2 linked regions of the Coturnix japonica genome follow. The protein of the gene in region 2 purifies or fractionates together with the protein of the main gene of each other region. This does not show direct contact. Links are inferred from orthologs where the notes say so. Each region holds a gene or a part of one and is shown on either strand. Other genes may lie near its edges.

Region 1 (3,818 bases), on a different chromosome or scaffold from region 2:
ATTTCCATCAAGGTATTTATTACTCAGTAGAGTACATTCATTGCTGGGCTTGGGCTGGTTCTCACTGCTGTATAAATTCTGAATGGGATATGAGGTAGTTGGTTGTACAGGTATTTCCTGCCTGCAGTAATTCAGCTGATTTCCTTGGCAAAAGTCTCTGTTAACTAAATCACAATTGCCATTGGCAAGATTTTTATTATAAGAAACACCATTAATTGCTGCAAGTTCTGCTGAGACATCAATTTGGAGTTTACTGGGTGACTCATCAAGCAGTGTTCTGTAACTCACAGACATTTGGTCATGTTTTTCTGCAGAAGAGGTTCTATTAGCACCTTGATGTGCAGCATTTTCAGGGACTACAATTGTGCTGTGCTTACAGTAATTTTCATTCTCTACCAAAGAGGAGCTAGGTATGGAGATGAAAGATTTGCTGTCAATAGATTTTTTCCATCCGAAGTCCAGGTTAGGATATCTGTGAAGAGAACATGTTGGCGTTGTTAAGAAGATTATAGATAACTACATGCACATACTTGTTAAAAAGTGAATTTAGATGCTGTAGTCACTATTTCCAATCAAGTCTTTAATTATCAGTGTCACTGACAAGTGACTTGAGTTAAACAGAGACTATCAATCTCAAATTCTCACAGCAGTTAAGTCTTCCCCTTGTTTTCAATGAAGTCAGATTTTAAACATACTGAAAAAATACAAACCTGAAATCTGCAGGAAGTGATTTAACCCCTACACCAGCATCAGTGGCTGTTTGAGCTCTTAGTTCCTCTGCTGTCAAAAGGCAGTGCAGGCGATAAAGTATGCTGGGGAGGCAAACTGCTTTTCTCCACAATGATGCTGGAATAGGATGTATAGCACATAGCTCAGGAACCAGTATCTGGGACGGGAAGAATATAATTATATTTCTAAGGGTAGTCTCCAGGATACTGTTAATGCAGAGGCAACTTGAATTAATACTTGTATTTTACCTGCTTATTCTGCAGACTTTCCCATTTTGCTTTCCTCTTCTCAGCACTGCTCAGTGGAAGCGCTTTCCCCTTCTGATTCAAATGGCGAGGAGTCAAAAGATTAAGTCTAAAATACATGTGAAAACAGTCTAATGTAAGTATATTATTAATAAATAAAACTTACAAGCTTAAACTTTCTGAAGTGACGACTTGTTCTTAGAATTCACCTGTAACGCATTATGAAGTGGAAAAAAAAGAATAAAAGCAATATACAACTGTAACTTGAGTGTAACATATGCAAGGTATCACCAGAGAAAAAACAGTATTTTGGAAAGCACAAACCTTTAACTTTATCACATAGGGGAAAAAGAATAGCATTTTGTTGTTGTATTTCAAATATCAAACAGAAATATGATTGTTGTTTACCTTGAAGATGTGTGGTCCACATCCAGCAGTGGCTGGTTGAGATTGGTCAGGTCAAGATTATATTTTGTTTTATAATATTCAGCAAAAGTTTCATATTCAGGGGAAGGGAATTTGCTGAGTGGAGTAAGATCAGTGTATACATCAGCTACATAGAATCGATGAGGCTGATCAAAATTTCGATACCTAAAAAAAAGAACAGTGTAGCATGTTTTATCCTTAGAGTAAAGCTTGTGGTGGTGATTTCTTGATGCTTGAATGTGATTAAGTGAAAAACCATTAAATAACTCAATTTAGGGCTTTTATTTTCAAACACTAGTTAAATAAATGAGGGTTTAACAACTTCAAAATCAAATATACTGATAACAGTCTGAAGAGTAATTCTGCAAATGATGATTCCTTAATTCCAAACACCAATTACACTTGCTAACTTTGCTTCTTTTAATCTGGTTTCCTATTTGTGCTAGAGTCAGTAGAGTTCAGAGAATCAAAGTTCCCATACAAAAAATGTATTCTATCCACACTGGCAAATAAGCTTAAAATTCAAAAATTAAAATACCTAATATAGTAAATCCACCATAGCCTTCTAAGGAGAACACAACTATTTTAATAGAGATACAATGTTAGAAAACTGAAGCCAGGATTGTGAAACACCTTTTAGTGATGCTCACTGGATACTACGTGAAAATCTGAAATTCTTTGCTGAAGAATATGTTGTGTAATTAAGCTTTCACAAAATCCTTTTTTTCTTATCTCATTCACAGCCATGCTTATTTTGTAGAATGTCCAAATAGATCCTTGCTACTCACCGTGGAATGATAACTGCATCCTGGTAGTCTTCTAACTTGAAAATAAAAGGCATTTCTTTTGTATACTGTGTACTGGGAATGCCTGTACGCGCTTCAGACTTTTCAATGTCTTCCATAAACTTAAAGTCAATGTCCAAAGTGCTGGAGTCATCAACTTCAAAAAGGAAAATGTATAACACAATTATTCACAGGAAAGTTTTTCAGGAAGAGTTTTTCTGACAAGTTGTAAATTACAACTTCTTTTTTCTTATCCAGTGTGCTTTCTTATTCTATATTTCTATTTTACTTGTGATAAATATATATATACACACATACAAAAATATATGTGTACGATTTTACACCTTTATTGAGTCAACTGGAATTTGCTATAAATCAACTCACATCACCAAATTAAATCTAATTAAGAATTGTGAATAAGAAATAAAAAGAATACTGACATAAGACTTCATACTACCACATACGACATTATTTCAGCAGTTAATCTCTGAAATTTAAAATAAATATTAAAAAATGTTTTGCTAAAAGAATTAGAAGTGAATATTTAAAAAAGCACCTCTGTTCTTACCAACATTAAGAGGTAGAACACAATAGGCTGAATCAGCTTCTGTGGGTTTGAACTCTAGTGCAGGTTTCTCAAGACGAAGAATATGTGAGAAAATGTACTGGTGGAGTCGTGTTATCAGCTCAAGCATTTGCAAAGACAGAGTAAAACCAGATTTCTTAAGCTCAATTGATATTGTAACCTCTCCAGAGCGAGTATACACAGGAAAGTGAGGAATCTAAATATGGGGAAAAAAAATAATCAAAAAATCAAAAGTGAAAAATTCAGAATAGGATTCCTCTACAGAGTACTAGTTACACAGTTCAGACATTTGTATGTAAAGACTGCTGCTAACACTTTGCTACCACAATAATAATGACAGAAAGTCTGCCAGCTGTTTGAAACATCACTCATGTCCAGTTGGAAGGGACACACATCAAGACCTCTGAGGTCTAAGCAAAAGTTAAAACATATTAAAGTCATTATTCAGACGTCTCTTGCCTTTTATGATCATTTCCAACTCTTCAGCTTGGAAAAATGAGATTGTGAGGCACATTAGATAAAATAAAGGAGCTAAATTCATTACCTGAGGTATTGGTTTGGCTGTCAATATGCCAAAACATCTCGTCGTATCTTCAGGAGGATATAGCTTTCGTCTCCTAAAGTTGAGCTCATCAGGCAATGGAGTAGTTAACACCATTCCTATTACATACAAGTAACAGGGCTGATCGGGTTTGGGATAACTATCCCTCAAACATTCTGGAATCTAAAAAACATAAAATAGAAAAACATTAGCATGATTAAATCAGCAAAACTAACCTAAACGCTATTCTTTGAACAAACATCCCTGTGCTTATTTGGTAAGGTACTGCTAAAAAGGAGGAATAAGAAAATTAATTTAGACTTACATAAGCTCTTTCTTACACAAAAACATCTGATCAGCAACATGGCCTGGAACTGTGGAGCTCATGTCATCAAAAGAGAATAATGCTCCCAGATCTTCCTGTTTGCTAAGGGAACTTAGCACTACACTACACCCCTAACCATCCACTATGTTAGAAACATAAGTCTAACTATACAATACAGACA
Region 2 (4,337 bases):
CAAAAACCTGAACTCAATCAGGTGTTAAAACACCACTGCAAACAAGAAAAGAGAATAGGATAATAGTGCAGGGAGCGTTGACGTTCAGGACTGTTGCTTGGTGATAACTATAAGATCAAGGTTTTGGTAATACTGTCCTATGCAGGTCTGAAAGCTGAGTCTGGAGGTTGGGCTTGGTGATCTGAATTGTGATGCATGTGTCAATCAATGGGAAGATGTGCATTCTGTAGATGTAGTTTTTAAGGTGTTTTCGTTTCGTTTTTGTTCTTTTTTTTTATATATATATATAAATAAAGCCTGTTGGCCACTGTTTAGCTCTGTGGTGTGGAGGGTTTTACATGTAGCAACGTTTAAAGAGTCGGGGAATGGGGATGGTTGATATTTAATACAAAATAAAAGGGGCACGTTTGTTCAACAGACCCTACCCCCCCAATCTACCTTTGTGGATGTGCTGTAGGATTTTTCTTGCTCAATAGCAAGGCAGCAGCTCTGCTTTCATTTTCGGAAGGCAGAGTTTGGAGGGCATTGTATCAATACTGTTTCAGCTGCAAGGTTTGATTTTTTGTTTCCTTGTGCATTTGAGGAAAGACCTTGTAATATCACTTCCAGGTTTTCTTACACCTTGCTATTGGCGTTTCCATATTTCTATATGTCTAGAGGCTGAAACTTCAGTGTAAGATGTTTGCATTCGTTCCTTTTTGCCCTACGGTGTAATTTTCGTTTCTATATTGTTAGACTTGTAACGTTGGAGATGGTTATTTGCTGAACTTTGGGCTGGGTGTCTGATAGCAATACGAGGTACTCATTGGAAGCTGTTCTGGGTGGGATAGCGGCCCCATGTTGCGATACGATGCCGGTTGTGTACAATTTGCAATGTATTATTCTATGATTCCGATGATTTCTTTGGATTTTTATTTGGATTTTTAGCCTGCAGGGATATTTTGTGTTCATGTGTCCGAAAATAAAAATAAAAAACAATGATTAAAAAAAGAAAACGGGGTGTTCGTGTGCTCAATGCTGGTCATCCTTTATGTTTAATAATCATGCAGTGGGTAACCTAATTAAGGTGCTTTATATTGATTAACTTGGCATTGCAACTTGTGTTGTGCACAGCAGGTTGTGATGTGAAGCATTGAACCAACACAACGCTGCTGGCTGCTGCTTTAACTGAGCCGTATTATTGAGCCCCATTTGGGGTCTGGATGGTTATAAGGTGCCGTTTGGGTCGCGGTTCTGTCCCTTATTGGGTCGGAACCGGCTCGGAACCATCGCATCAGCCCTGAGGTGACGCTCCAAGATGGCGGCGTTGGCGGGGCCGTGGGGCGCCGCCTTTGTTGGGCGCGGGGCCGGGCGGCGGCGGCGCGTGCGCAGTAGGGCGCAGCGTGAGGCGGCTGCGGCGGTGCGGTACCGGCCCCGGCCCAGCGCCCCGGCCCTGCGCTGCCCGCGGCCCGGCTCGGAGCGGCACCCGCGTGGATGGGATGGAAGCGGGACCTTCGGGAGCAGGTGGGGAACGGGGAGCAGAGAGGGGAGTTTGCTGAGGGGGGAACGGGGAGGGAGCGCGGCCTACGGAGGGGGATGCGGGAACGTGGCTGTGAGGCGAAGGGGGGCCGCGCCGCTTCCAGGGCCTGGATGGACGGGGGATGTGGAGACGGTGCGGGGATGTGTGGGGCTCTGCACCGGCACACGGGGCTCATAGAGCCGCTACGGGGCTCTGTCGGGTTGGAAGATGAGCCGGGCCGGGCGGCATCCCACCTCAACACATCCCATCCCACCTCAAAGACCATCCCATTCCCACCTCAACCCATTCCATCCCACCTCAACACATCCCATCCACCTCAACACATCCATCCCACCGCAACACCATGCCCATCCCACCTCAACGAACATCCCATGTTCCCACCCTCAACACACCCATCCCACCTCAATACATCCCAATCCCACCTTCCCAAATCCATCCCACCTCAACACATCCCATCACCACGCAACCATCACCATCCCACCTCAACACATCCCATCCCACCTCAACCCATCCCATCCCACCTCAACCCATCCCATCCCACCTCAACACATCCCATCCCACCTCAACACATCCCATCCCACCATCACATCCCGTGTGGAGCTGCCCATGTCCGTGTGCTGGGTGTTTGGGGTCGATTTATTGTTGGTTGTGTGGAGGATGAGGTCCGGAGCACAGTACTGGGTCAGTAGGGTGAGAGCTGTGCTTCAGCATCCCCTGCTGTGTGCTGGGAGCCTCCTGCTCAGCCCAGCTGTGTGTACCGGGATCATAGAGCACATAGGGGAATGATTTGCTGAGCGTGAGATGGCCTGGAGAGCAATACATGGAGAGCAGTGTATGGGGAGCAGTACATGGGGGGCAGCTTTGAAGCCAGACTTGGTTTCTCCCCAGCTCTCCGTGCTGTTCATCCTTTGCAAGTTTCCTTAACGCTTATAGGCTTAACCGTTGTGTCCCTGTGCAGCTCCTTGTGGATAAACCCACTGCTGGTTCTGGCTGTTGGATCCCTGTATGGTGTGATCACATCGGTGTGTTGCTGGGATAGGATTAAAGTGAGACACAAAGCCTGGAGCAGCACTTTGCCTGGAGGCTGAGCACGTGTGGTTCATCCCTGAGTGCTTTCCGTAGTCTATCTCTAACCCCAGCAAGAGATAAACGATGGGAAGGAGGACAGATGGGGCAGAAAAGCAGTGCTTTAAAGCAGGATGGAGTCAGCTGTGTGTGGGTTTGAAGCTCCCTTTGGGGATAGGTCTGGACTGTGGGGTGTTCACCCCATGGACAGGGTGTACCCTCATAGATGGGCACGTGGAACATGAAGCTGTTTGCCTTTGTCCTGGCTCTTCCCCAGGAGCTGGGAGGATTTCTTTGTCTGTCAGCTGCACTTTCTTCTCTTGTGCTTGGAAAGGCTACACCAGCGTCTGTGAAACTCAGCCTGAACAGATGGGAGAGATGTTATCTTATGGCCTTTCTAGGTGCTGTTAGCAGAAACCCTGGGGCTCACAGTCAGCGAGGAGACGTTGTGGATGAGTGGAGTAGAGAGCAGTGCTGGCTGCCAGGCCCCGGCCCTTCACTGCAGACACAAATGTGTGTATTTCCAGCTCTGCCAGCTGCTGTGAGCTCCTGCACATGGCACAGCCGGGTTAACAGCCTGCAAAGCTCTAGTTGGGCAGCCCTGATGGGTTTAGTGCCACTGCTGCGTGTGTTGGTTCACAGTCCTTATTAACAGCTGCATGAAGCAGCCTTGCCTGTTGATGAGAGCTGTGATGGAGCTGGGAATGTTGCTGCTGTTCTGGCTTTGATGCTGGTGCTGTTGCTTGCTTTGCTTCCTGCTGGGAGTTTTCACTTCTTAGGGTTGATTTAAGGTGGAAAATGGCTCAGGATGAGGTTGGGCTGCACGTTGTGTCTGGGGGCTTTTGTCACACACATTCAGCCCTGCTGCTCTGGTTCTCAGCTCCATCTTCACAGTGCTGGCTGTGCAGGAGGGGCCCTTCAGTCCCTCTTTGGTGATAAAACTCCCTTTTGTCTCAGCCTGTTCTGTGGCCCCTCTCCTGAATGCCGCCTTGGAGAGGATTTAAATGACATGGTAATTTCACGCCTTCCCACCGGTGCTTTGGCCCAGGCAGCTGTTGGTCAGTGGCTTGTGTTTGCCGGCTGTTAGAAGCAGCAGCAGCAGAAACAAAGCTGCTCCCAACGCTGGTGACCCCATATGGACTCAGCCTGGCATTGCTGCCATCCCTGCCCGCTGCTGCTCTTTCATGCACCCAAGGAAGGCCCTGCTGCCCGCCGTGTCCCCAGGCCATGGCTTTGTGTGCCAAAGTCTGTGATTCCTCCCGAGCTGCTGAATTTATAATGGCAGGCGGATTTTGTACCGCTCACTGGCTGCATTGTGCTGCAGGAACAACACTCACCCTGCAGCCCCTGGCCCTCGGCGCCCTCATTTACATCACAAAGTGGGAGTCTGTGCAGCTTTGCCATGGAGAGTCGAGGTATGCGGAGAAACCCCTCAGTCTGGGGATGTTGGGGTCACTCTTCAGTGGGTGACTGCTTCAACTCCTTGTGATCGAGGACCTCTGCAGTGACCAAAATGAAACCCTCTGCTGCAGCACAGACAGCAGCTTTCCCATCCTTGTCACCGCTCTGGTTTGCTGCCCTCATCTTTGTGGAGCTGTGCTCTGCAGCAGGGATGTCCGGATGACTTACATTGCATTCACAACATTCCGTGGCTTATGTTGAACTCCTCAGCCAGCTCTTGTGTCGCTTGAGGCTGTCTCCTTAATCTGTGCCTCACAATCTCAATGGTGAGGGCTTGTGCTCGTAAAACATC

Evidence for each region.
Region 1: the proteins of protein argonaute-1 (region 2) and DICER1 purify together in Homo sapiens (co-immunoprecipitation; 7 studies listed by BioGRID and IntAct, with this or other methods). This does not show direct contact. The link is inferred for Coturnix japonica from reciprocal best matches to the Homo sapiens genes AGO1 and DICER1.

Annotation. Positions count from the first base shown.
Region 1 is NC_029520.1:41,574,006-41,577,823, forward strand, and holds part of DICER1 (endoribonuclease Dicer), read right to left. Parts: intron 3,496-3,818; coding exon 3,316-3,495; intron 2,968-3,315; coding exon 2,754-2,967; intron 2,343-2,753; coding exon 2,189-2,342; intron 1,566-2,188; coding exon 1,383-1,565; intron 1,084-1,382; coding exon 978-1,083; intron 887-977; coding exon 711-886; intron 473-710; coding exon 1-472. UniProt on the Homo sapiens protein: Double-stranded RNA (dsRNA) endoribonuclease playing a central role in short dsRNA-mediated post-transcriptional gene silencing.
Region 2 is NC_029538.1:3,733,242-3,737,578, reverse strand, and holds the start of protein argonaute-1, read left to right. Parts: upstream 1-1,373; 5' UTR 1,374-1,478; coding exon 1,479-1,503; intron 1,504-4,337.